Linked DNA regions of Ovis aries. The main gene of each other region encodes a partner of the protein of the gene in region 2 in a complex. Links are inferred from orthologs where the notes say so. Each region holds a gene or a part of one and is shown on either strand. Other genes may lie near its edges. The genes, in order: POLR2F, RRN3, TAF1C, TAF1A, POLR1C, TAF1B and UBTF.

What was found.
Region 1: RRN3 (region 2) and POLR2F share a complex: the UniProt entries of both Homo sapiens proteins name them as parts of the pol I pre-initiation complex. The link is inferred for Ovis aries from reciprocal best matches to the Homo sapiens genes RRN3 and POLR2F.
Region 3: RRN3 (region 2) and TAF1C share a complex: the UniProt entries of both Homo sapiens proteins name them as parts of the pol I pre-initiation complex. The link is inferred for Ovis aries from reciprocal best matches to the Homo sapiens genes RRN3 and TAF1C.
Region 4: RRN3 (region 2) and TAF1A share a complex: the UniProt entries of both Homo sapiens proteins name them as parts of the pol I pre-initiation complex. The link is inferred for Ovis aries from reciprocal best matches to the Homo sapiens genes RRN3 and TAF1A.
Region 5: RRN3 (region 2) and POLR1C share a complex: the UniProt entries of both Homo sapiens proteins name them as parts of the pol I pre-initiation complex. The link is inferred for Ovis aries from reciprocal best matches to the Homo sapiens genes RRN3 and POLR1C.
Region 6: RRN3 (region 2) and TAF1B share a complex: the UniProt entries of both Homo sapiens proteins name them as parts of the pol I pre-initiation complex. The link is inferred for Ovis aries from reciprocal best matches to the Homo sapiens genes RRN3 and TAF1B.
Region 7: RRN3 (region 2) and UBTF share a complex: the UniProt entries of both Homo sapiens proteins name them as parts of the pol I pre-initiation complex. The link is inferred for Ovis aries from reciprocal best matches to the Homo sapiens genes RRN3 and UBTF.

What each region holds. Positions count from the first base shown.
Region 1 is NC_056056.1:215,583,207-215,586,296, forward strand, and holds the end of POLR2F (DNA-directed RNA polymerases I, II, and III subunit RPABC2), read left to right. Parts: intron 1-1,835; coding exon 1,836-1,907; intron 1,908-2,400; coding exon 2,401-2,491; 3' UTR 2,492-2,590; downstream 2,591-3,090. UniProt on the Homo sapiens protein: DNA-dependent RNA polymerase catalyzes the transcription of DNA into RNA using the four ribonucleoside triphosphates as substrates.
Region 2 is NC_056077.1:14,207,756-14,211,255, reverse strand, and holds part of RRN3 (RNA polymerase I-specific transcription initiation factor RRN3), read right to left. Parts: intron 2,661-3,500; coding exon 2,522-2,660; intron 687-2,521; coding exon 556-686; intron 1-555. UniProt on the Homo sapiens protein: Required for efficient transcription initiation by RNA polymerase I (Pol I). Required for the formation of the competent pre-initiation complex (PIC).
Region 3 is NC_056067.1:10,019,641-10,023,923, reverse strand, and holds the start of TAF1C (TATA box-binding protein-associated factor RNA polymerase I subunit C), read left to right. Parts: upstream 1-1,483; 5' UTR 1,484-1,649; intron 1,650-4,283. Other genes in the region: ADAD2 (adenosine deaminase domain-containing protein 2), read right to left, coding at 1-133. UniProt on the Homo sapiens protein: Component of the transcription factor SL1/TIF-IB complex, which is involved in the assembly of the PIC (pre-initiation complex) during RNA polymerase I-dependent transcription.
Region 4 is NC_056065.1:25,301,704-25,305,203, forward strand, and holds part of TAF1A (TATA box-binding protein-associated factor RNA polymerase I subunit A), read right to left. Parts: coding exon of another isoform or gene 3,475-3,500; exon of another isoform or gene 3,448-3,474; intron 3,131-3,447; coding exon 3,017-3,130; intron 1-3,016. UniProt on the Homo sapiens protein: Component of the transcription factor SL1/TIF-IB complex, which is involved in the assembly of the PIC (pre-initiation complex) during RNA polymerase I-dependent transcription.
Region 5 is NC_056073.1:17,058,249-17,062,287, reverse strand, and holds the start of POLR1C (DNA-directed RNA polymerases I and III subunit RPAC1), read right to left. Parts: upstream 2,801-4,039; 5' UTR 2,780-2,800; coding exon 2,711-2,779; intron 2,592-2,710; coding exon 2,520-2,591; intron 1-2,519. Other genes in the region: protein YIPF3, read left to right, coding at 3,090-3,170, 3,772-3,969. UniProt on the Homo sapiens protein: DNA-dependent RNA polymerase catalyzes the transcription of DNA into RNA using the four ribonucleoside triphosphates as substrates.
Region 6 is NC_056056.1:19,132,124-19,135,623, forward strand, and holds part of TAF1B (TATA box-binding protein-associated factor RNA polymerase I subunit B), read left to right. Parts: intron 1-429; exon of another isoform or gene 430-447; intron 448-2,056; coding exon 2,057-2,204; intron 2,205-3,500. UniProt on the Homo sapiens protein: Component of RNA polymerase I core factor complex that acts as a GTF2B/TFIIB-like factor and plays a key role in multiple steps during transcription initiation such as pre-initiation complex (PIC) assembly and postpolymerase recruitment events in polymerase I (Pol I) transcription.
Region 7 is NC_056064.1:43,773,890-43,778,014, reverse strand, and holds the start of UBTF (nucleolar transcription factor 1), read left to right. Parts: upstream 1-1,325; 5' UTR 1,326-1,578; intron 1,579-2,160; exon of another isoform or gene 2,161-2,264; intron 2,265-2,454; exon of another isoform or gene 2,455-4,125. UniProt on the Homo sapiens protein: Recognizes the ribosomal RNA gene promoter and activates transcription mediated by RNA polymerase I (Pol I) through cooperative interactions with the transcription factor SL1/TIF-IB complex.

The DNA.
Region 1 (3,090 bases), on a different chromosome or scaffold from region 2:
TGGCTGCTTCCCAAGGAAGGTTGCCACTTGGAAACCCTGGTGGAGACATTGAGGGCACACTCTCACATTTCCTGTGAATGTAGCAGGGCTGGATGAATGACTGCTCTTGAATTATTCATATCTTGAAAGAAATAAGGCATATGCATGTCAGGGAAAGCAGTTTGCCACATTCTTAAATGTTGGGGGAAGTTTAAATAATTATTGAGAGAAGATATAGAGAAAGTTAAATACTTGGTTTCTGCCCCTGGGGAATTTTCAGGCTTTGGGGAGTAACAGACATCAGAATATTTAGCAATAAAATTAGTAGATCATTTAGTGTAAACTGGTGGCTCTCAGACTGGCTGGTTATCTGAATCACCAGGGGAGCTTTGCTAATATAGGTTCTCAGGCTCCTTCACTAGAGAATCTGTTCAGCGGGTCTGGGGAAGGACCTGGGAACCTGTATTTTTAGCACGCTCTCCTATCAGGTTTGGGGTCCATTAGTGTAAACTTGAGTTGGAATCAATAAGGGTGACTTCCTAGAGGAGATGGGCCTGGAACTGGTTTGTCTGCTTTTAGACCCTCTGCTGTGGGCCAGGTGTTGCACTAGAATAGAACTTGGGGTCCTGGACCACCAGGTCTTGTTTGGAAAACTTCAAACGGGAAGTCACAGTTTAGTGACAGTGGTGTTGAGAGAAGTGTGTGTGAGATGAGTCAGGGCCCTGAGGCTTCAGCGCGTGCTTTCCAGGGTGGAGACCTCTGAGCCTCTCTCAGGCCTGTAAGAAGAGGAAGCAGTCGTGTGAGGATGCAGAAGGGAAACAACAGGGCCTGCATAAGAAGCTATAGTGGTTTGATGTGGCTGGAATGTAGGGTGAATAGAGGCAGGTAGCATGAGAAAGTACTGCAGAGGTGAGTGGGGGCCAGAGGAGGTCCTGCCTGCCTGTTGGCCATGGGGTATCAAGGAAGAGAGGTAAGCAGGGGAGAGCCTGACCACAGGCCTTGTGTAGGGGCTAGAGGAGCAGGACCCCTGCAGGGGGTGTTGCCAAGACAGAGAAGGAAGACGAGGCGAGCTAGGCCCTGAGGCAGGGCTGGGGGTTGAGTAGAGTGATCAGAGGGTGAGCTCTTGCACATGTGGGTCCTTTGTGTGGGAATATTCTGCTGTGGCCGTGGGCTCAGGAGTCTGTGACAGGCCCTGGGGAAGGTCCTTGGCCAGGGTAGTGGACGTGATGAGTGTCACACGACCCAGTAATGACAGCTCACACTTGTCCCTTTCACAGTACCTGGCTTCAGTTTGTGGATCACCAGTTTTTTAATGGGAGGTGTTACAGAATAGTAGAGAGGAGTCTTCAGGGTTCAAATCTTGGTTCTACCACTCACTGGCTGTGTGACCTTGAGGAAATTACTGACCTCCCTGTGCCTCAGTTTCCTCCTCAGTAAAACGGAAGTAGCAGTAGTGCTTACTACAAATGAGACATCCACGTGGTGGGTGGAGAGCAGCTATGGCGCCTAGTGAGGCTTTGCTTGTAGCCAGCAGCGTTTTAGCATTATTGTTGTGTAGGCGTGGCAGGGCTTTTTGTCTTCATTTTCAAATGAGGATGCTGAGATTTGGAGAGACATTCAGGGTCTTTCAGGCCCAGTTTAAGCCTAGTCTACTGGCTGCCACTCAAGTACCCTCACTGTCGGCAGCCCTGGACCGCTGCTCCGCACCTGCCGCTTTTGGGAGGTGCCCTTTCTTGGGGCCCTTTCTAGGTGAGCTCTGGGGCGCTGATCCGATCCTGTTTGTGAAACTGCCCAGCTTCATGCTGGGCCTTCTCCCTGTGTGTGTGATCTCCCCACACCTGTCCTTACACCTGCAGGATGTGCGCCCCTGTGATGGTGGAGCTGGAGGGGGAGACAGATCCTTTACTGATCGCCATGAAGGAGCTCAAGTAAGTCACCCAGATCCTGGTTTGTGGCTCCAGAGCCCTGGGGGCATCCCTTGGGTGCTCTGCTGCGCGCCTTCCCGCACTTCCCTGCTGGGGACGTGTGGTCTTGTTCCTGTAGACCCTTAGTTTGGGAGTCAGCCCTTCACCGGGGAGGAGGGGACGGGCCAAGGGGGAGGGGAGGACATTGACGAGACATGGACCGTCCCTGTCTGTCCCATCGTCCCTTTTTCCTGCTGCAGTTGGCCTTACCAACATCCCTCTGCTTTCTGCCTCGCCCTTCGCTGTGGGATGGCAGGCCCTTTGTAGATTTTGGTCCCACACTCAGAGAAGCAGGGACTTTTCTTTTTTTTTTGCTGAAATTCCTCACCTACGAAGTACATCCGTGGTCTCAAGAGGATGCTCCTAAGGCTTCTCCTCCCTTGCCTTCTGCGCCTGCTGTCCCTCTGCTGCAAAGCCAGGGTCAGCACCCATGTACCTCGATTTCCCCCGGTCACAGGGCCCGGAAGATCCCCATCATCATTCGCCGCTACCTGCCCGACGGGAGCTACGAAGACTGGGGCGTCGACGAGCTCATCATCACCGACTGAGCTGGAGTCAGCCTCTGGACTGGGCCTCCGCCCGTGGCTCATCTCATAGTCTTTTTATAGTCTTTATACGTGTAAATAGTAAATTCTTCAACCTTTCAACCCCTTCTGCCTCCCGCTGCCTGTGAGGCCCACCTGCGTCTTCACTGTTACCATCCTGCTGCCTGGAGGCTGTGCGCATCCCAGTGGCCCTGGGACCATCAGCTCTTTAAGAAGCACCAGAGCCCTGACCCCCTGGGCTCCCCTGCGTGCCCCCCTCCATCTCACAGTCCACCAGAGCAGAGGCTGCTGCAGGAGACACCTCGGCTGCCTTCCTAGCAGACAGACGCGCCTTTGTGCCCAGGAAGCTGGTTGCCACGGAAACCCCCAATTTCCTTTCCAGTGTGGACTGGCTGCAGGGGCTTCTCCCTTCTCAGGAGTATCACAGAGCAGGTCTCATCAAGCCACCCATTGTTCTCCTGAGGACCTGCCTCGAGCCTCTTATCGTGGGCTGGGATCCCCTTTCAGGAGCCAGTGCCCCCAGCAGGAAGCTTGGGGACGCAGTGATCTGCCCTCCCCGAGAGAGCCCCGCTGGCCAAGTCAGCAGCTGGAGCAAGGGCTGA
Region 2 (3,500 bases):
ATTGAGTTTAACCTTCCTACCCATGAACAGTACTCTCCTAGACTAGGACTAGGAAGCTATGAAATAGCGCAAAGAAGAGTCCTGTGTTCTTTTGCTTTGTTCTCAAAACAGAAAAACAAACTCTTCCGAGTTTTAAAATCCTGGATTAAAACTTTAGTTTGGGCTAGTTAATATCAACTGAAACAGAATTTAAAAAAATAAAGTTACATACTGTATATGCGGTTTTTAAAAATTGGAATATAATTGCTTTACAACTGTGTCCATATGAGATTTTAGTGAAGGCTTGAATTAAAGGGAAGGACACCACCTAGTGGACCAAACGCAGGACGACGTTTTCAGAGCACAGCTTCAGCTGATGGGCAGCAACGCCCTCGGCTCCTTCCACAGGTTGAGAAGGGCTTTCTATTTGACTAGAGGCACTAAGTAAAATGAGCTCCAGACAAAGAAATGGTCGATTCATGGTCCCTCTTCAACATTTCCCTCCACCCCTCATTTTTTAAGGAAAACTTGGGGCAAGAATAACAGAAGCTACGATAACGCAAATGACATACTCACCAATTTAAAGCTACAGAGGTAAAACATGAAAAACTGCACATGGCAAGAGGCATGGGTGGGCAACAGGAGCTTGTCAAAGATGGTTATGAGATCCCGATATAAATCTTTTGTTTTGTTGTTATCAATCTTACCTGTGAAGAAAATTTGGCATTTCAGTTCTATACATTATTTTCAAGCCACGAGTTTCATTTACATTTTAAAAAAGCAAACAAAACCATTAAGAAATACTTCATCCATGAAGCTAATGGGGGGTCGGGGTGGGGGCATAGGAGGCCATCTTTATCTGGCACAGAGTTTCCATTTCAATTATAAAAATCCAGGACTGGTAAGGAAGTGGGCCCTCATCTCACACACACCACTATAATTCCACACATTGGAAAAATCACCATATACAAGTTCTACTGCTAGGAATTTATCACAAGCAAACACGTGACAATATAGGTATAAGTATGTTCATTACACTATTACTTACAATGGCAAATAAAGCAGGGGGAGGAAAAAAATAAGGAACCAGTTAAACCCATATGATTAATAACTATTTTAGAAGAACCGTGAATTGTATGAGAAAATGTTCTTAAGAGGTAAAAAGGGAAGATTATAAAATACTACATATAGTGTGACTCCCCCGGAGAAGGCAATGGCACCCCACTCCAGTACTCTTGCCTGGAAAATCCCATGGACAGAGGAGCCTGGTAGGCTGCAGTCCATGCAGTCGCTAAGAGTCGGACACGACCGAGCGACTTCACTTTCACTTTTCACTGTCATGCATTGGAGAAGGAAATGGCAACCTACTCCAGTGTTCTTGCCTGGAGAATCCCAGGGACAGGGGAGCCTGGTGGGCTTCCATCTATGGGGTCGCACAGAGTCGGACACGACTGAAGCGACTTAGCAGCAGCAGCAGCAGTGTGATTCCCCAAATCCGTTGAGAAAAACATATACACCCACGCAAACAGAACAGAAAAAAATTTAAAAATGCTAATAATGGTCCTCCAAATAGGAGTGTGTGACCATAAACCGTCTTTAAAAAAAAAAATCATTTCCTGTATTTTCCAAATCTCCTCTAACCAACATGTATTACTTTTATAGCAGCAAAAAAGTTAAAGTAGTAACATACTCAACTCAGATTCAAGCCCTATTATTCTGAGTGGTTGAGTTTCATTCTTAATCTGAGAAATGCAAATAGAAAAAAAACTGCTTTTTTCAAGGCAAAGTGTCTAGACTAAAAATCTAAAAATTCCATTAAAGGCAAGAAACATATCAATTTGTCCACCAACACTTGGAACAACCAAAAGTACCCAGACTCTAAATTTCAAACATAACACCAAGTGTGTCCATGCATGCGTGCTAAGTCGCTTCAGTCATGTCTGACTCTTTGCAATCACATGGACTGTAGCCTACCAGGTTCCTCTGTCCATGGGATTCTCTAGGCAAGAATACTGGAGTAGGTTGCCATGCCTTCCTCCAGGGGATCTTCCAGACCCAGGGATCAAATCCGCATCCTCTTAACATGTCCTGCATTGGCAGACACACTCTTCACAAGCGCCACCCGAAAAGCCCCAAATATCTACTATGTGTACGTATGCTTGGTCATGTCCAACTCTTTGCAATCTCATGGACTGTAGCCCACCAGGCTCCTCTGTCCAATACTGGGGTGGGTTGCCATTTCCTTCTCCAAAATATCCACTATACCATTCTTAAATGTCTCCAGCTTGAGGTCCACTTTAAACTGTCCAAACTCCGTATATAATCTTTTAATACAGTAGGCAGTGAAAAGACCACCAAGGCCTTTGAAGACAAACACAACTGAGTCTGGGTCCCAGGCCCACTATTCTCAAGCTATGTCACGTTGGCAAACAATCTCTCTAAACTTTCTTTTCCTCATACTCAAAACAAGGGTTTTTATCGTGATTTTCTATCAGTATGCCCAGCACAGTGCATCCCAGCTGTGGCTACTGCAGGCTGTTACCGTCCACATAGCAGACGTCCTTAATGTAGGACAAGAGTAAAGACAGGAGGATGTCCAGGCGCTCAGCCATGGGATGGACCATCTGATCGAGCCTTCCCGGATCAGCCTCAGTTTTGTGGTCAGCTTCCTCATCTTCATCCTTTGAAGGTAAAGTAAAAACTGACGTTTTAAAAACTCAGTAAAAGTAGTTTAGGGAGAAAACCCTGAGGTAAACTGTTTCCTTTAAAAGATAAAGGGAAAACCCAGAAGTCTTGCCAGGCAGAGGCTGTCAACCAGAGGCATGAATCAGAATCACCCTTGGAACTCAACATGAAAGCACAGATCCAGCCTCTGACTCTCATGTAGAAGAGCCACCTACAGTGTGACCGTGCAAACATCACAGCTTTCCCCCAGTTTCTGGCACAAACTCTTGGTGCCGGGTTTCCTTTCCTGGGACGGGGCACCCACCCCCTCAGCTACTATGAGCACTGGCTGCCAGCTCACAGCTGCCCCATTCTCTGGAGAACTGCCTTGGCTCCTCCCAACCCTCCCAATCAGACCTAGTAACTGACATGAGGTCACAAGAGGCCATTCCCCCCAGTCTCAAGGTAGGACTAACTCTGTCCCGTAACTCATGCTCCAGAGCTCCTGGGGGGGATCAGGCTGCAGTGACTTCCAATCGAAACCCAACTCTCCCTTCCTTCCTCCCCCTGCCCTTCCTGCTTCCCCACACCCTGTGTCCCAAGGGCACCTGCATCCCCATCTCAGGCTCCTCCCAGTGAACCCAAGTTAAGACACAGCTCCGAGCAGAGAGGCACTGCGTGAAGGTACACAATTTGTAGAACACAGGAATCACACTGACGTGCTTTTCTACGTATCACTCCTCCACAAACAATAAGTGGTGTACAGAAACAAACTTAAGGAACAGACGGAAGAGTAAAAGGGAAACAGACTTCACCAAAACCAGATTCAAAGCCTTGGAAATGAACTCTACTAGTCA
Region 3 (4,283 bases), on a different chromosome or scaffold from region 2:
TGCTGGCCTGTGAAGCCATGGCTGGACTCGAGGGCGGGAGGGAACAGCAGGCACGTTCTGGCGCCACCTGCGCCTTTTTACACGCCAGAGCGAGCGCCCACGTGGGGAGCACGTGGTACAACCGTCCGCGCATGGTGAGCTCCGCCTCCCGCCTCACTCGTAGCCAATGAGAGCCCATAAAACTGTAGCAGGACAGTATGCCCAGCCAATGGGAAGGCTAGTCTCCCAGGCAGCTTGAGCCTGGATGTGGACTAAGTGGCCACCTGGCCAACCTCCTTATTTCAAGGGCGGGGCTCCGGGTGTAAGGTGAGGGTGGAGGACAAGACCGTCCTATCATCTTCTTCTCTGCGCTTGTTTGTGTGGTATTCGGGAAACAAAGACCAGGGGAGGAGTCTGGGGACCCAAGTTCAGCACCTCACCCCTGCTGCCGTCCAAGGATGCCCTGCACTCCCCATTTTGCCAGCCTGCCCTCCCCAGCTGCTTAAGCAGCTGAGCCTAGAGGAGGATGGGAGGTGCTCATTCTGTAAGTGATGGTGTTTTCATTTGTAGCAGCCTCACAGAGTCTTTAGGGCCTACATTTAAAATCTGTTCACCTTAAGCCTTCCTGAAGCCAACTGTAAGTGTTCCACGTGGGCTCTAGCTAAAATTAGTCATTTGATATCCTGCCCTCCCCACCCCACCCCCGCTTTTTTTTTTTTTTTTCCTCAGAAGTGAATCTGTGTTGGTTCGTAAAAACATGTCAAGATAGCAATTCTTAAAAATGAGGGTCTAGCGATGAAGGAGAAATAACAAAAATAAAGTTGAGGATGAAGACAATTTACATGTGGCTTGCTATCATGCAGCACGGTTGCTTGAAGGAGATGAAAATTTTAACAGTCTTGAGGAGCCAGTGACCGGGAAAATGTGACCAGTTACTGAGTTTATGGTCTGTAAGTTGTGTTGCTGTTGCTGCTGCTGCTGCTGCTTGCTACCTTCGGATCTGACAACACGAGCCAGGACGGGGGCAATGTGGACGCTAAGGCGTAGAGAAACAGTTGGTAGCACCTGTTAACATTTGACTTGGAAGAGCAGATATGGAGCAAGGTAGATTCAGTCTCCCAAACGGTTCAAGGATTGACCTCAAGAAAGACAATTCTGAGGACTTCCCTGGTGGCTCACGGTAAAGAATCTGCCTGCAATGCAGGAGTTGGAAAAGACGCAGGTACGATCCCTGGGTCAGGAAGATCCCCTGGAGGAGAGCATGGCAACCCACTCCAGTAGTCTCGCCTGGAGAATCCCATGGACAGAGGAGCCTGGCGGGCTTCAGTCCATGGGGTCGCAAAGAATCGGACACGGCTGAGCGACTTCACTTTCACTTTCACTTTTACTTAATTTCCAGTGCCCACGGCGCCATCTGCACTCGCATTCTCCCTCCGCCCGGGAGGTGGCGCTCTGGAGCGCCCCTTAGGCCGGGCTGGGAGGCGGGACTTCCTGCCTTCCATGAAGCATTTCCGGCCCAGCCGGGGGAGGCGGTTCATCGCTTCTGTGGAGCTGTCGGGTTGCGGGCTCAAGAGCTAGGGTTCTGCCTTGGGGCTCCCTCGTGGCACGAGGGTCAAGCGAGCGTCACGCGGAGGTCGGTTTCCCCGACGAGCACGGCGCGACGGGATTACGTAAGTGCGCGCGCCGCCCCGACGGGACGGAGGGGCGGGTCCCCGTGCTCGCATCCACAGGCTCCAAACTGTGTGGCTTTGGGACGAGTCGCCCAACCTTTGCAGAGTTGGTGGTGAGCAGCCGCTGGCTCATGGAACGGGGAGCATCACGCCGTTGTAAAGCGTCGTAGCAACAACTGTCTGGCATACAGCGCTTGGTGCGAGATGCCTGCTGTTCTTGGGTTGAAATTCTGGGGCCTCGACGTGGAGAGGGAGGAGACGGATGGGGAGGACGTGGGCGAGTAGAGGTCTAAAGGGAAGGGCCTCCCGGATCCCCTCTCCCATCCCCGGGCAGGCGCACCTATTGCCGCACCCGGCGTTCGTGCAGACCCGACGAAACTCCGGAGGTCTAAATTCGAGTCCGGGAGAGATGAGGGCGGGAAATCGAGGCTGTCTTGTCTCGGGGGTTCTCTGAGGTCGTGGGCTCCACCAGCTCCCTCAGCCTCCCTGCGTTTGTTTGAGACTGTCAAGTTCCTCATTCTTGGATTTGTGCCTTCAGCTTTTACGTACTGATTTCAGTTCATTTCAGTTGCTCAGTCGTGTCCGACTCTTTGCGAGCCCATGGACTGCATGCAGTGCTCCAGGCTTTCCTATCCATCACGTAGTAAATAAGGCAGGCACCGGGGATAAAGTCCCTTCCCCATGCGGACTCTCAGAGCAGTTTGGAATCACATAGCTTTAGCTTTAAATATCTTATCACACATCGCAATGCGTGCTCCAGAGGAGGGATGCAGGGTGATGTGGGACAGGGCTGGGAGAACCAGGAGAGGCTTCCTGACTCAAAATCTGAAGGATGGGGGCAGATTTTTTAGGTGGGTAGGAAGGACAATGGTGTTCATTTTTAGTGGAGAGAGAGTGTGAAAAGGTCCTCTGGTGAAAAGACGCATTCCCACCACTGTCCTCTCCTGTGATGAAGGAGAAAGACAACAACAATCAGATGCCAGGAGGTCAGAAATGAATCTGATACAGTTCCTGTCCCAGAGAGCAGTCCCGAGGAAGAGATAAAGCATATAAGCCACAATTAGAATGAGGCTGACTCGTGCCCTGAGAAACACATTCTTTTGACAAGTTTTTTTATTATTTATTTATTTACATGACTGCACTGGGTCTTAGTTGTGGCACTCAGAATCTTTAGTTGTGGCATTCGAACTCTTAGTTGCAGCATATGGGATCTAGTTCTGCGACCAGGAGTCGAACCTGGGCCCTCTGCATTGGGAGTGAGGTGTCTTAGACACTGGACCACAGGGGAAGTTCCTCGTTTGAAAAGTGAAAGTGCTAGTCACTTAGTTGTGTCCGACTCTTTGTGACCCCATGGACTGTAACCTTCCAGGCTCCTCTGTCCATGGAATTCTCCAGGCAAGAATACCGCAGAGGGTTGCCATTCCCTTCTCCAGGGGATCTTCCCTACCCAAGAATCAAACCTCAATCTTCTGCATTGCAGGGAGATTCTTTACCATCTACCAACATTTACTGTGTGGTGAGCACTTTGCAAGGTGCTCAGAGTACCTGGAGGTATAGAGGTTACAAAATAAATGGATACATGCAGTGGTAGCTCTAAGAGGAAAGGTTTTGCATCATCAGGCTCTGAGGCTGGTGCTCGCTTCTGGATGCAGAGAGAGTTGTGGTTTAGAACTGGGGTTTTGGAGCCGCTGGAGGATCACGCTATTGGCCTTGGGCAAGTTGCTCTTTCCCAGCCTGTTTCCTGACCTCCATATGAGGGGCAGGAGAATAAAACTTGTAGTACCATGTCAGGCAGATGCTGGCACTCAGTAAGTGAGAACTGCTCTTATTTTTGCGTGTATTAAAGGATATTCCAGCTGCTTATTCTTGTTGAGCACTTTGTATTTTGTTGTTGTTCACACTCTTTGTGACCCCCACAGACTGCAGCACACCAGACTTCCCCGTCTGTCACTATTTCTTGGAGTTTGCTCAAGTTCACGTCCACTGAGTCAGTGATGCTATCTAACCATCTCATTCTCTGCCACCCTCTTCTCCTTCTGCCTTCAATCTTTCCCAGTTTTAGTCTTTTCCAATGAGGCGGCTCTTCGCATCAGATGGCCAAAGTATTGGAGCTTAAGCTTCAGTCCTTCCAGTGAATATTCAGGGTTGATTTCCTTTAGGATTGACTGGCTGATCTACCTGCAGTCCAAGGGACTCTGAAGAATCTTCTCCCACACCACAGTTTGAAAGCATCAGTTCTTCAGTGCTCAGGCTTCTTTTTGGTCCAACTCTCACATCCATATATGACTACTGAAAAGAAACAAATTTTGACTATATGGACCTTTGTTGGCAAAGTGTCTCTGCTTTTTAATACACTGTCTAGGTTTGTCATGGTGTCCCTTTCCAAGGAGCAGAGATCTTTGAATTTCATGGCTGCAGTCACCAAAGCCCTTTGACATAAACATTATTATTCAACACACAGTTGGTTCCTTTTTGTTGGAAGGTACTGTACTTGACAGTGGGAAGGCAGACAAATAATAACTCATCTCTGGCTTTGGGGAACTTGAGTTTGTCTTTAGAGTGTAACCTAGAGTGTGGGGCTTGTCGTCTAGGTAGGACTGTGTAATTATAATGTAATACGTGAGAGCGTGATGG
Region 4 (3,500 bases), on a different chromosome or scaffold from region 2:
CCATTGTCTGGCTAAAAGTAGCTACTGGCGATATGGAAATGAATGGGTGTGGCAATGTTCCAACAAAACTGTATTTAGAGGTACTAGAAAAAATTAAAAAGCAAAGCGTGTCAAAACTTGATTGAGAAAGTGCTTTTAATCAAATATATATCACAGAGAGGGAGATTATCATAACATTTTGGAGGATGTCAATTCTTTTGGATAAAACTTTTATTAAAGGACACTTTAATTTGGATAAAACTCCGCCTAAACATGAGAAACAATGAAACATTTTCACACATAGATCAGAAGTTAATACTGTGAAAATGTCTGTACTACTGTGAAAATGTCCACACTACCCATAATACCCAAAGCCATCTTTGGATTCAATGTAATACCTATCAAAATACCAGTGCTATTTTTCACATAAATAGAAAACACAATCTTCAAATCTGGATGCAAAATTTTTATTATTCACATAAAAACCGTGAATAGCCAAAACAATCTTGAGAAAGAACAATGCTGCAGGCATCACACTTTCTTATTTCAATCTATATTACCAAACTATAGCATTCAAAACAGACACATCAGACAAGTGGAACAGAATTGGGAGTCCAGAAATAAGCCCATCCATATGTTGTCAACTAATATTTGACAAAGGAGCCAAGAATACTCAAAGGGCAAAGGTTAAACTCTTTAATGAATGAATGATGTTGGGGAAACTATAGATGTTTATTGCAGAAGAATGAAATTGGACCCTTAATTTACATTTTACACTCACAAAAATTAACTCAAAATGGATTAAGGACTTAAAGGTAAGATCTGAAACTAAAGCTCTCAGAAGAAAACAGAGGGGAAAAAAACCCCTTGATATTGGTCTTGGTAATGAATTCTTGGGGTATGACACCAAAAGCACAGGCAATGAAAGTGAAAATAAACAAGTGGGACTGCATCAAACTAAAAAGCCTCTGCACAACAAAGGAACCATCAACAAAATGAAAAGGCAGTCTACTGAATGGGAGAAAATATTTTCAAATCATGTATCTGATAAGAAACACCTAAAATCGATAAAGAACTCATACAGCTCAATAGCAAGAACAACAAAAAACATATTACAATTAAAAATGGGCAGGAGAGGGACTTCTCTGGTGGTCCAGTAGCTAAGACTCCGTGCTCCCAATGCAGAGGGCTGGGGCTTGATTCCCAATGCGAGGGTCAGGGAACTAGATCTCGAATGTTGCAACTAAGACCCGGTGCAGCCAAATAAATAAATATTTTTAAAAAAAAAAAAGGTTAGGGGAGGAGGTTCAAGAAAAAGGGGACATATGTATACCTATGGCTGATTCATGTTGATGTATGGCAGAAACCAACATGATATTGCAAAGCAATTATCCTCCAATTGAAAATAAATAAATAACTTAAATTTGGGCCACAATAGTGAAAGTTCTGCACCCTAACCACTGGATAGCCAAGGAATTCCCCCACTTCAAATGAGCTAGAATGGCTAGCATCAAAAAGACAAGAGAGGACTTCCCTGGCGGTACAGTGGATGGGAATCCACCCACCAATGCAGGGCACACAGGTTTGATTCCTATGTGGAATCCCATGTTTCACACGTGGAATCCCAGAAAAATTCCACATGCCACGGAGCAACTAAAGACTGCGTGCTGCAACTACTGATGCCCGTGCACCTAGAGCGGGTGCTCCGCAACAAGAGAAGCCACTGCAATGAGAAGCCCGTACCCTGCAAGGAGGAATAGCTGCCGTCCACAGCAACGAGAAAGGGCCCCCATAGCAACAAAGACCCAGCACAACCAAAAGGAAAACAAAACAAAAGACGAGGAATAACAAGTGTTGGTAAGGATGTGGAGAAAAGGGAACTGCTGTATACTGCTGGTATACATTCCCTTTGGAATGTAAAGTGGTCTAGCCACTATGGAGAATGGTGGTATGGTGGTTCCTCTAATAAATTAAAAGCTGACCTAATATACAATCCAGCAGTCCACATTGGCATATATATCCAAAGTTGAAATCACTATCTGGACGAGATGTCTGCACTTCCATGTTCACTGAAACACTATTCACAAGAGCCAAGACATGGAAGCAATCTAAGTGAGCAATGATGGATGAATGGACAAGGAAAATATTGTATACAAACATATATACAATGGTGTATTATTCAGTCACGCAAAAGAATGAGATCTTGCATGTGTGGCAACATGGATGAGCTTTGAGGACATGACGCTTAGGGAAATAAGTCACACAAAAAAAGTAATATTCTCTCATCTCACTTTCAGGTGGAATCTAAAAACATCCAACCCATAGAAACAGAGTAGAATGCTGGTTGCCATAGGCTGAGGGCTGGAATAGTCAAGGGACACAAACTTTCAATTATAAGATGAGTAAGTTTGAGGGTCTAATGTACAGCATGGTGACTATGGCATTGTTAACTTGAAAGCTGCCACAAGGGTAGAATTTGAACATTCTCAACATAGCAACAACAAAACGATATTATGTGAGGGGATGGCGATGTTAACTAACCACACTGACGTAAATATTTGGCAATATACACATGCTATCAAATTATCACATTGTATATCCTCAACGAAATTAAATCACATGTCGATTATATCGCAACAAAGCTGGAAAACTTTTCTCAAGTATTCAAATTCCCAATTTGTTTAGCTCTTTCCCTTTTCCAAAAGCACCAATTCTTAGAGAGCTCAACTGACTTAAGCAAACATATCAGAATTTGGTCCATCATCATAGTGAAGCACACAAGCCATTCTGGAGGACTGGTTCTGGCAGCCAGAGATACACAGAGAGAAGATATTTGTGCTCCCACAACGTGGTAGGCGACAGGAAACGGGGAAGTAAGTGGCTCCCTAATGCAATCTTTCTTTCAGCTTCTCTTATTGACCCAGGTGTGTTACTCCCTTCCCCATCTTTTCTACACTCTTACCTGCCTTATCACTGAGACGAGCAATTTTAAAAAACGAACGCTGCAGATGTAAATGCACAAAGCCTACATTCTCACCTTCAAGTAATTCGTGACGCCAATATTTTTCATCCGGTCGGCAAAGGTATTGAAAGTCTCCAGGTTGCTTTTGGGATGATAATAAAGAATTTCACTTCCAAGCCTCCAAATAATCTGTCAAAACAGAAGTTACTAACAAAACTGTAAAACCCCTGCCTTAACCAATGTCTCAGAAAGCTATTTTCTTCTGATTACAACATTAAAAAACAACCTATAATTCCTTTTTCTAGATACCACTACTGTCAACATTTTACTATACTTCACCCAATGAAACTATTATTACATTTTATGTGATTAAAAGCTTTTCCTGTTGATGAAAATACCAGGTGTCATTAACAATGTCATTTTGAGCCAGAAGTCTAAAGAAGGTGAGCATTTAAGATACATATTGAAGATAACATTTTTATTTATTTTTATTTTTTGGTCTCTGAGGCATTTTATTTGTATGTATTACATCCCTAGAAAAAGAATCCAAGGATTTTCC
Region 5 (4,039 bases), on a different chromosome or scaffold from region 2:
TTCTATACAACCTGGTGTTTCACTCCAAGGGAAAATTAAAGGGGGGAAAGCTCTTAGTGTGGTGGCTTTAGGAGACAGATGCACAAGAGAAGCTGTTATAACCACCCATCCTCCCAATAATAAATAGACCGTCCCTAATCAAATAAGTCAAGTGGGCCTTAAGAAGCATTACTATGAGCAAGGCTAGTGGAGGTGATGGAATTCCAGTTGAACTATTTAAAAGCCTAAAAGATGATGCTGTTAAAGTACAGCACTCAATATGCCAGCAAATTTGGAAAAACTAAGCAGTGACCACAAGACTGGAAAAGGTCAGTTTTCATTCCAATCCCAAAGAAAGGCAATGCCAAACAATGTCCAAACTACTGCACAACTGCAGTCGTTTCACATGCCAGCAAAATTATGCTCAAAATTCCCCAAGCTAGGCTTCAATGGTATGTGAACCAAGAACTTCCAGATGTTCAAGCTGGATTTAGAAAAGGCAGAGGAACTAGAGGCCAAATTGCCAACATCCTCTGGATCATAGAAAAAGCAAGAGAAGTCCAGAAAAACATTTACTTCTGCTTCAATGAGTAAGCTAAAGCCTTTGACTGTGTGGATCACAACTGTGGAAAATTAAAGAGATGAGAATACCAGACCACATTGCCTGCCTCCTGAAAAACCTGTATGCAGATCCAGAAGCAACAGTCAGAACTGGAGATGGAACAATGGACTGGTTCAAAATTGGGGAAGGAGGACGTCAAGGCTGTGTATTGTCACCCTGCTTATTTAACTTATATGCAGAGTACTAGATGAAGCACAAGCTGCAGTCAAGATTGCTGGGAGAAATATCAATAACCTCAGATACGTAGGTGACACGATCCTAACGGCAGAAACCGAAGAGGAACTAAACAGCCTCTTGATGAAAGTGAAAGAGAAGAGTGAAAAAGCTGGCTTAAAACTCAACATTCAAAAAACTAAGATCATGGCATCTGAACCATCATTTCATGACAGACAAACGGGGAAAAAATGGTAACAGTGACAGACTTCATTTTCTTGGGCTCCAAAGTTACTGCAGACGGTGACTGCAGCCTTGAAAGACACTTGCTCCTTGGAAGAAAAGCTATGACAAAGCTAGACAGCACATTAAAAAGCAGAGACATCACTTTGCTGACAAAGGTCCATATAGTCACAGCTATGGTTTTTCCAGTAGCCGTGCATGGATGTGAGAGAAAGCTGAGTGCCAAAGAATTGATGCCTTCGAATTGTGGTGCTGGAGAAGACTCTTGAGAGTTCCTTAGACAACAAGGAAGATCAAATGATCAAACCAGTCAATCCTAGAAGAAATAAACCCTGAACATTCATTGAAGGACTGAGGCTGAAGCTGAAGCTCCAATACTTTGGCCACGCAATGCCAAGAGCTGACTCACTGCAAACGAGTGATGCTGGGAAAGATTGAGGGCAAGAGGAGAAGTGGGTGACAGAGGATGAGATGGTTGGATGGTATCACTGACTCAATGGACATGAGTTTGAGCAAACTCCAGGAGATACTGAACGACAGGGAAGCTTGTCGTGCTGCATTCCCTGGGGTCACAAAGTCAGACCCAACTGAGCAACTGAAGAACAACAACAAAGAAACCTGCACCCATTCAAGGAATTAAAATAATGGAGTGGGGCTAGAAAGACCCTCAGGTGGTCTCCTCACTCGTGTGGACACTCGTATTCTTCTGTGAGTGCCTGCTTTCCCTTCTCCTTAATAAATTGCTTCTTTGTTCTCTCTACACCTCAGTTTCTCTGTGTGACATTTTTTTGCACTTTGGACAGGTAGAATAAGAACCTGGACCTTTACTTTAGCATGTCCCACATCACAAGTATGGCAGGAGACAGACGGGCTCCAGCTGAGGAATTTCCTATCAGCCTCCTGTTTGCCCTCCAGAAACGAAGAGAGAACAGAAACAGAGTCAACAGTCTTTGTCTCTAGTAAATATCTTGAAGAAATAATTATAGCAAGAACAAAGCAAGGCGAAATCCCTCGTCTGAGTAAGGATTAAGGGATCTCCGCTTCCCCCTTTTTAGGATAAGGAAGATACATCACAAGTGCAGAAAGGCTACTTGGGGTCAAAAGTCAGAGGATAATTCAGGCCATAACGAGTCTTGCTCTTCCCAGAAGCCTTCACTTCCAGATCCATCTTGGCTAAGAGGTGAGTGTGCATCCCATGGGAGGGTCCTGCCCGTGTGCCTTTCTACATGTACTTCTCTTTTCAATCAACTTCGTACTTTACTCTGTACCTTCTGCCTCCTCGCCTGAATTCGTTCTTGACTAGGCAGACAAGGACTAGGGACTCTAGCCCTAACTGCTGGCTCCTGTGGTCGTAGTTAGGACTACCGGTGGGGGAAGCTACAACCCCGCTTCCAGCTACCGCCCTCTGCCCCTTGCTGCAAGCTGCCCTTTTCTGCTGCGCCTTGGAAATTACAAGGACAGCTTCTAAGGCACAGGTTGCTCATATCACAAAGTCCGATCCCACAGTTCCAGCTCCACCTACCTTCTCAAAGCGGTCCTGGTCCCAGGCATCATCGTAGCCGCAATAGTTACCGGGAAAGTCAGTGGTATGAACCTAGAGCAAAGAGAGACGAGAATGTCTGCGAAGGGGCAGCGAGGCCAAGCCCGTCCCCACTCTGACGCCAACTCATCCCTGATTCACTCTGCTCCCGAGCTGAAGGCCACAAGACTTACATTGCGAACCCCAAACTCCCCTAGAACCACGCGGGTCCTCATTTCCTCCACAGCCTGGGCCGCCGCCATCTTCAACTCCTCCACGTGACCAGAGTACCTAACTGATGCGTGCGCACTAGTCGTCCGCCTCCGTTTCTGTAGCAACGCACCTCCTAGAATCTTAAATATCGCGAGACTGTGCCTTGCCTCCGTCCACGTCCCCAGCTACCGGAAGTTGGTTTGAGCCAAACATCCGGGTTTCTCCTTTTTTTGCATTCCGACCCATAGTACCTTTCTTTCTTGTCCCTAGACCTGTCCCTTTCTCAGGCCCGCATCTCTCCCACTCCTCCTCCGCGCGCGGGACAAGCACGGGCTTCAGCGACGGGAGCCCTCGAGGGACATGGCAACTCCGGCGGCGCCGGCTGGCGGCGCCCGAAACGGGACCGGCCCGGAATGGGGAGGGTTCGAAGAAAACATCCAGGTAATGGCCCCACGGCTCCGGCTGCCCGCAGCCCCTGGGCCGGCAGCCGCCCTGAACTCTCCCTCAGAGCCTGGAAGTCTGGTCCATTTGCAACACTTTTTATCTTCTTTTGAGTCTTCGTGCACAAGAAAGGCAGTGGGGCTAGTGCTGGTCTTAAAGCTCCAGACTGGTACTCCAGCCAGGGGCCTTAGGTATCTGGGCCCAATTGCTCTTGCTTTCCACAAGTTTAGGAAAGTCAGTCGGAGACAGGCATGGCGGGAGTGGGCTTGGGGGTGGATGGGATTCACTAGCCAAAACCACACTTGGTGCGCATAGCCTTGTTTTGGGGTTGGGAGAGATGAAGGAAATGGGCACTTTGCAGCCCTTTGGGGCCTTGGTAGGGAAGGTAGGAAAAAGCCGTGTATGGAAGACAGGGACTAGGTTCCCCAGACTAGAACAGAGCACCAAACAAGCAGGGGTTCTGAGACCAAATGAGGAGAAGAGAGTGGCGTCATCTGTGGCGATTTCAAGTCCCCTAGCCCCAAACCTTGTGGTGAACGGAGAAGGACTCAACTGGACGAAGCAGAAAGGTCCTGCACTCTAGGGTCTGTTGTCTTCACAGGGTGGGGGCTCAGCAGTGATTGACATGGAGAACATGGATGATACCTCAGGCTCCAGCTTCGAGGACATGGGTGAGCTGCATCAGCGCCTGCGTGAGGAAGAAGTGGATGCTGATGCAGCTGCTGCTGAAGAAGAGGATGGGGAGTTCCTGGGGATGAAGGGCTTTAAGGGACAGCTGAGCCGGCAGGTGGCTGATCAGGTAAGCACAGTTGGCTCCCTGACAGGTGGAAAAGTATACCGAGGAGACCTCTGGTTCTGGAGTTGGTGAA
Region 6 (3,500 bases), on a different chromosome or scaffold from region 2:
TCTTTTCCATAGGGATGGTCTTGATCCCTGTCTCCTGTACAGTGTCACGAACCTCTGTCCATAGTTCATCAGGCACTCTATCTATCAGATCTAGTCCCTTAAATCTATTTCTCACTTCCACTGTATAATCATAAGGAATGAAAAGTTTAGATCTGAAATACCAGTATCAAAATAAATACAATACAAAGAAGGTTGTAACCTCAAGCAAAGTAAAATTGGACATAGTTATAAATTCTGGAAATTTACAGTTTGTTTTCTGTAAGTAAGTCGCTCAGTCATGTCCGACTCTTTGCGACCCTGTGGACTATGGCTCACCAGGCTCTTCTGTTCATGGGATTTTCCAGGCAAGAGTACTGGAGTGAGTTGGCATTTCCTTCTCCCAAGGATGGATCGAACCCAGGTCTCCAGCATTGCAGGCAGATGCTGTACCATCTGAGCCAGTACCATTATAATGTATTCCCTTGTGCTTTATAATTGCATGTAAGCTGAATGTACCAAAGTAACATTGAACAGAGACATATTTGTCCCTTCACTTGGTTCCCACACACCTTCACATATATAGAAAATGGGCAAGACATGACAGAGCAATATTATTGGTACAAATTGTTGGGAAACAGATTTTTACTTAGAATAAGGAAAAACTTTGTAATGATTAAATGCATTACAAATTGAATAGACTACCTTCAGGAAAGGTATTGAGTTCCCATCACTGGGGATTTAAAAGAGCTAGACATACACCTGCTAGGGGTTTTGCAAATTTAGACCAGATACCTTTAAAGGTCTTGCCAACTCTGAATTTGCTGGTTGGATGATTTCTCCTGTAGCGTGATGTATGAAGTGATTGTTACACAAAATAGTTTACTGAAGTTTCTCTCTTACCATGTTTTTTTAAGCTAGACATGCATACAGAAAAGTGAACATATCACAAATGTACCCAACCTGATGAACTTTCATTACCTGAACCAGCCCTCTAGATCAAGAAACAATGATCTCTGTACCCCAGAAGCTCCATCCAGTCCCAACTTCCAGTCATGATCACCTGCACCCTGAGAGTAATCTAACTCTATACCTCCAGTCAACTGTAATAAATATTGCCAAACAGGTTTCCAGAATGTTTGTATTCTAGCCTAATTTTAATGAGGTCCAACCATGTCAGAATGTTAGTCTTTCTGAAATTCCATAGATCTTAAAAAAAAAATCTTGGTTGTAGCACTTAACAGCTATCTTATCCTATAGTTATTTTTGAATACTGACCTCCTTTTCTAGAGTATATATTCCTTGAAGAGATCACTTTATTCATCTTTATATTTCCTGAAGTATCTTACATAGAATAGACTCTAAATTTAATATTTTTATGTGAATGGATAAGTAAATGAGGAAAAATTATATGTAGTATCAATGAGAAGAATGTTTGGAAATTGCAAAAATATAAATAGCATACCAAATTAACTACAAGGGTGCCTGTAAAATGAACAGAATTAATTTATTAATATTGGCTCATACATTTTCCTGAATTCTGTAAGATACTCTTTCTTAGAGGCTAATGTGAGAAAATAGAAAGCTGAATCCCACATTTTTAACTATTAGACTTAAGCCCTGGTGTCATCTCCAACATAGAAGCATGTGAATATTATGTAACACTGAACTGAATCTGTTAGCTGTGAATTTGAAGGTTGGCAAGAGGGTGCTGGTTAGGGAAGGCGAGCAGAAAGTCCTGCTTTGCCGGGATTATGATGACATCATAATTCCAGTAGGATTGCAGCTTTATCCCAGATTCTTCTATGATTGGCAAGAAGTAATGGCTTCACTATATCATTAAGGCCAGTAAGAATTGTTAGAGCCAGATAGAATTTTAGTGGCTTTTTAATTTATCACTATTACTGTTTAAAACAGCTCAGTGAGGATATTTGGGGTTTATGGGTGTTTCTCCTTAATGTTTTTAATCTATACTCCAAGTTTTATTCAGTGAATACATGTTATTTTTAAAATCAGGAAGTAGTTTTTAAAATAATTTATGTTGCAGAAATTGCTACTTTGACTATCTCTTTCATTCCAGTCTTGGCCTAACTATGAAGTTATCTTTAAAAAAATAATTGAAGTTGCCACATTCTTAGATTTGCCGCGTTTTCCAGACATAACTGAAAACTGCTATCTTCATCCAAACATCTTGTGTATGAAATACTTGATGGAGGTCAATCTCCCTGGTAAGTGTGAGGTATATATTATGAGTAAGCCTTGACTTATTGAATTATTATGAAAAATGTATTGAATCCTCTCAATCAGAGACTATTAGAGTCACCTGACAGGGTCTACAGTAACATGAAGCTTAACTTCAAAATTCTTTCTTAAAATGTTTTGGACCATTTAAAATGGTTAAAAGGACACTTTCAGAAGTAATGAGTTCTGTTTTGGATGGGAGGGATAAGCTTGAAAGATAATGTTTGGTTTTTACAGTAAATTTTTGCTGAATACAAGTAACACATGATTCAGTATGTATTATTAATTACTTAGGAACCTCTACCAAAAAAGGGCAGCACTCCTTCATTTGCATGAAGCATGATTATTAAATAAAGAATTCCAATTTTTAAAATCCCAGAAGTTAATCTACAGTGATATTTTTATTATTTAGTAACATTGCTATTTCCAGTCCCTGAAACAAATGGAGATGAAGGTCTGGTAGGATGCAAAGGCAGCCTCACTACCCTTCTTCACAATACACCAAGACACAGGTCACCCCAGCGGAATTCGCCGATGGAATCTACTCCTGAATTTCTTGCTAAACTAGAAATGTGAGAACTGCAGGGTTTCTATTCTTAACAGAAAATACAAACATGGCATGACTATATTATTGCTTATGCAGTATAAAAAAATGTGATTGAATATATTTTTAATAGGAAAGGAAAAGACATGTTATATGAAAAAAATATATATAAAACTGCATGTATGATATAATTTTAGCTATAAAAATAAACATAAATTGGAGTAACATGTATACAAATATAAATCTAAGTCTTATAAAATATTTTTTAAAGAGGAAAAAATAAGCTTCTCAAAGGTATCATTTATTAAGCTAAGGAATGTTGCTGTAACTTTAGAAGTCACTGGCTCTTTGATTAAGATTCCAGAATTTGGGAAGTCTGATTTCTGCACTTTGGCATGTTACATATATCAGTTTATTGTTTTGGATTTTGGTTTTTTGAGTTACTTTTGGAGTGGTTCTTTCAAAATATGGCGGGTTCCTCTGTTCTATTATATACTCCAAAATCGTAAGCTCATAATGAAGAACACTAAGATATGGAAAGAATGCAAGGAATTACCAAAATATAACTGGCTTGGGCTGGGTTATGGCAAGTATCTAGCTCACATAGTTGCTATTGGACAGAAACGATGGTGGTAGTGTTTTCTGACCAGTGTGTATAACTTAATAGTATTTCTCACCTAACTCTTCCTGAGAGTAAGAAGTAGAATTAAAACCACTATAATATACAGAGAGATACTGC
Region 7 (4,125 bases), on a different chromosome or scaffold from region 2:
AATGCTGCAGGATACTCGCCGCCGATGCAATTGCCGAGCGACCCTCGGGACTGAAGTAACCACACAGCTGCTATTCTAATTTTATAGACAAGAAAACTGGGATCAGATGAAGTTAAGACATTTAACCAAACTCACACTGTTAAGGTGGGAAAGCCCAGAGGCTGGAAACCTGGGACTTCTGACTCCAAACCCTTTGATGTTTCGAAGTCAAAACAAGAAAGTCATTCCCTGCAGGTTCTAAGTTGGAGAAGGAAATGGCAACCCACTCCAGTATTCTTGCCTGGAGAATCCCAGAGTCGGAGGAGCCTGGTGGGCTGCCGTCTGTGGGGTCACGCAGAGTCGGACACGACTGAAGCGACTTAGCAGCAGCAGCAGCAGGTTCTAAGTACAGCGTGACATGGCTTGGTCCTTCACAAAATGCCCTCTGTAAGTTCCAAGGGCAGAACTGGGTTTGTGGGGAGGGGGAGGGGCGAGTAAAAAATAATACCAAATGATGAATCAAAAGTAAAGAGATAGCCTGCGATGAGGGCCCTGAAGCTTAAGCTTCACTAGCATCAAGGTAAATTGGCCCCGCCTACCCACTAAAAAATTCGGACACACCAGATCTTGACAAGATTTTCCTCCCGGTTTGTGAAACGTGGCAGATGTGGGCTGTGGAAGTCCTGGGAAAGGACTCTCAGTTCTCCCAGGGGACAAGATAAATTACAGCAACAGCGAGGCCGTGGTGTGGGGATGGAGAAGGCTGTGTGACAGGGGAAGAGTCCAAAGGGGCCGGCGGCCCAGCTGGCAGTGCCGCTGTGGTAGGCTGGCATCCCTAGAGCCGGGGGCGATGGCGCCGCCCCGGAGCGATGGCCCAAACCGTAGGCTCGCCTGATGGAAGCAAGCGTTCTTCAGACCGTCTTCTGGCTTCCTGCGTCCAGATGAACCTTTCTCGGTGGAGGAGAGGCAGAGACAGACAACCGCAGCCGACGGCAGTGGGAGGGTAGATGGTGGTCGCGCCTAGGCCTTTCTATCTCCGGCCCGCAGGATGGTGGAGAGCGGAGGCCTACGGGAAGGCTGCCCCGCTGGGGCTCTGGCGGCGAGGCCGGGGTGCCAGGCTCCCCTCGCGGCTCCCCGCCGCCGCCGGGGGGAGGAGGGGCAGGGGGAGCAGAGCCCGCGGCCTGCTTTCCCAGGGCTGGCCAAGCCTTTTTGACAAGCTGATAGCGTGCCGGGGATTGGCTGGTCCGGGCGTGACGCCGGTTAACAACAAAGGTGGAGTTGGAAGAAATTAGATTAAAGGAGGGGGGGGGGGGTTTGGAAATTAAAGGGGGAGCAGGCTGGAGACTGGAGGCAGAGACCGAAGGGGAGATGCGCGAAGCGCGGTCTCGCGGCTCCGCTTCGCCCCGGAATCCCCTTCGCCTAAACCCACCGGGATTTTTGCTCTCAACCGACTCCCGCGGCCCAGCTACCGAAGCAGGGGTGGGACGGATGGTTGCTGCTTCTTGAAAAATGCCCCCAACTCTCACCCTGACACCCCTTTACTATGGCCCAAGGGGAGAACTCTTTGCTCGGACTCCTCGGATCCTAAACTCGGAGGAGGTGAGGGGCATTGAGAATAGCGAGAGGTTCGCTCTAAAACCCGGAAGGCCCTCGCGGGGCACCGAGAACGGACGAGGCGGGGCACTCCCCCGGTTTTCCAATGTGTTGCAAACCTAAGAGCTTTTCTTGCTTGCTTTTTTTTTTTTTTTTTGGTAACACCCTTCCCCCCCTTTTCTCTCCCCCCCACCCTGCTTTGGCTCCAGGGTTGCAAAAGCAAAGAGCAATAAAAAAAAAAAAAAAAAAAGAAAGAAACCCGCGCATACACTCAGACACACACCAGTGGCGACAGGGGAGAGTTGGAAAGACGCAGGAGAGAAGCAGGAGGCAGCGGGGAGGGAGCAATGGGAGCGGGAAGCCGGCAGGTTCCCTCGCAAATCCCCCTCCGGCCCAACGTCGCCTCGCCGGCCCCGGCAGGGGAGCGAGGAGCCGGGCGAGCAGATGGAGGAGTGGAGCTCGCTCTAGGCAGCAGGCTTGGCCGGAGAATGGAGGAGCCGCCAAGCGATCGGCTGATTGGAAGAGAAACGCAGAGCGATGGAGGCGGGGGTAGGAGGACGATTTCTCTGCGGGGACTGGCGGCGGCGTATACGCCCGGGTCGGGCGCTGCAGAGCTTGGCTAGCTTTCAACCCGCGCTCGCCGGCTCCAGCCCCACGCGCCCCCACCCCCAGCCCTCCCGGCGGCTCCGCAGGTGAGTGCGAGCTGGGGGCAAAAAGACTCGAAAGTCTCAACACGCCCGCCCTGCCAAAAGGAGGAAAAAAAAAGAAAAGCATTTTTCCTTTTCTTTTTTTTTATTTTCGTGCAGCCCCCAGCACGGTGGGAGGGAAGGGGTGAGGCTGAGTCGCCCGGAGGAGGCGGAGGGGCCAGGCGAGGCCGGGGTGGCCCGGGAGGCGGCGGCGCCGAGGCGGCTCTGACGGGCTAGCGCTCGGAGCGGCGCTGCGCTGCGCCGAGGCGGGCGGGCGGGCGGGCGGAGCGGGGCGGGCGGAGCGCGGCGCGTGGGGCTCGCCATTAGCCGTCGCTCCGCTTCGCCATCTCGGGCTTTGTCTGGCGGCTTGCTGCCCCGGCGTCGGCTGCGGCGGAGCTGCGGCTCAGCTCTTCGGCCCGCCGCACCCTTAAGGCGCCCTTGGCCCGTGCTCCCATTCACACGCTCGGTAAGTGAGCCCCGGCGCCGCGGATTTCGGGGGAGAGGGGTTTCTACGAGTGGCGGCGGCGCCGATCTCCATGCGCCCGGGCAGGCCTGGGGAGCCATGCCGGGCTGGATTGAACCAGCTCCCACAGAGGCTCCTCCGCCGACTCGTAGCTTTATCGCCGCTTGTGGGATTTAAAGAGCAAAGAAGATTTTTTTTTTCTGTTTTAATTTGCAAAGAGGACATTTTTTAGGGATTTTTTTTTTTTTCAAGTTTCGTGTGTGTGCTGCTTAGCAGCGAGGCAGGCTCCGAAGCCTGGCACGGCGATTGGCTTGCGTGCGCCCCAAGCCGGTGGCTACGCTCCGGGGATAAGGGTGGGCGCGAAATGCCCGCTCCGGGAGGCGGGCGAGTGAGCGGGTGAGGGCTGGAGTGGAAGCCCGAATCTGAGCTGGGGGAGAGAGCTCTGGAGCTGGGCTGCAAACACCCCCGGAGCCTCTCCAGCTGCCGGGGGGCCCTCCGGCACCCTCTCTGCGGTCGCGCCTCGCGCCCTCCCTCCTGCGCCGGCCGAGCCTGCTAGTTCCCCCGCGGGTCTGGCGAGGTCGCTCTCGGCGCCCGCCCGCCTCGGCTCCGAGCCCCGCCGCCATCCGGGCGGCTGCGTGTCTCCCTGCCCCGACCCCCCCCCCCCCTCCCCGGCGGCAGCAGCAGCCGCCGCCGCCGCCACCACCACCACCACCACCAGCACTACCCCCCTCCCCTCCTTCCTTCCCTCCGCCTCGGCCGCCCGGGTCCCCCCAGCTCCCGCCCCTCCTCCCAGCTGCCCCCCGCGGAGCCCGCCCGGGCAGGCTGTGGGAGGGAGCGGAGCCGGCGAGGCGGGCGGGCTGGCGCTCGCTCCCCGGGGGTCGGTGTGCGCTCTACGGGGAAGGACGCGCTCGCTGCCCCGCTTCTCCCGCCCCCCCTCCCGCTCCTCCTCCTCCCTTCTCCCTCCTCCTCCCCGCTCCGGCGGCGGAGGCTGCGGCGGCGGCGGGGGGTGTGCGAGCTGAGGCCGGGGCCGGCGGGCGGGCGGCGGGCGGGCTGCCTGCAGGCGGAGGGCGCTGTGCTTTGTGCTTTTCGCCGCGAGGAGCAGCAGGCAGCAGCCACAGCCGCAGCCGCCGCCGCCACAGCAGCAGCCGCCGCCCCAGCGCCGCCGCCGCCGCGCCCGGAGGAGGAGCCGCTGCCGCCGCGGGAGGGAGCTGCGGCTGTGCCCGGCCGAGCGGGGGAGGGCGCCGCCGATCAGAGCCGGGGAGGGAGCCGCCGGAGCGGGAAGCCCGGAGGCCGCGCTGCGCCGGGTAACCGAGGCGGCTGAGGACGCGCGCCGGGTCGGGGCCGGGGCCAGGCGGCGGGGAGCGAGCCGTGGGTGCGGTGGACGCCTGGAGACCCGGGGCGAGT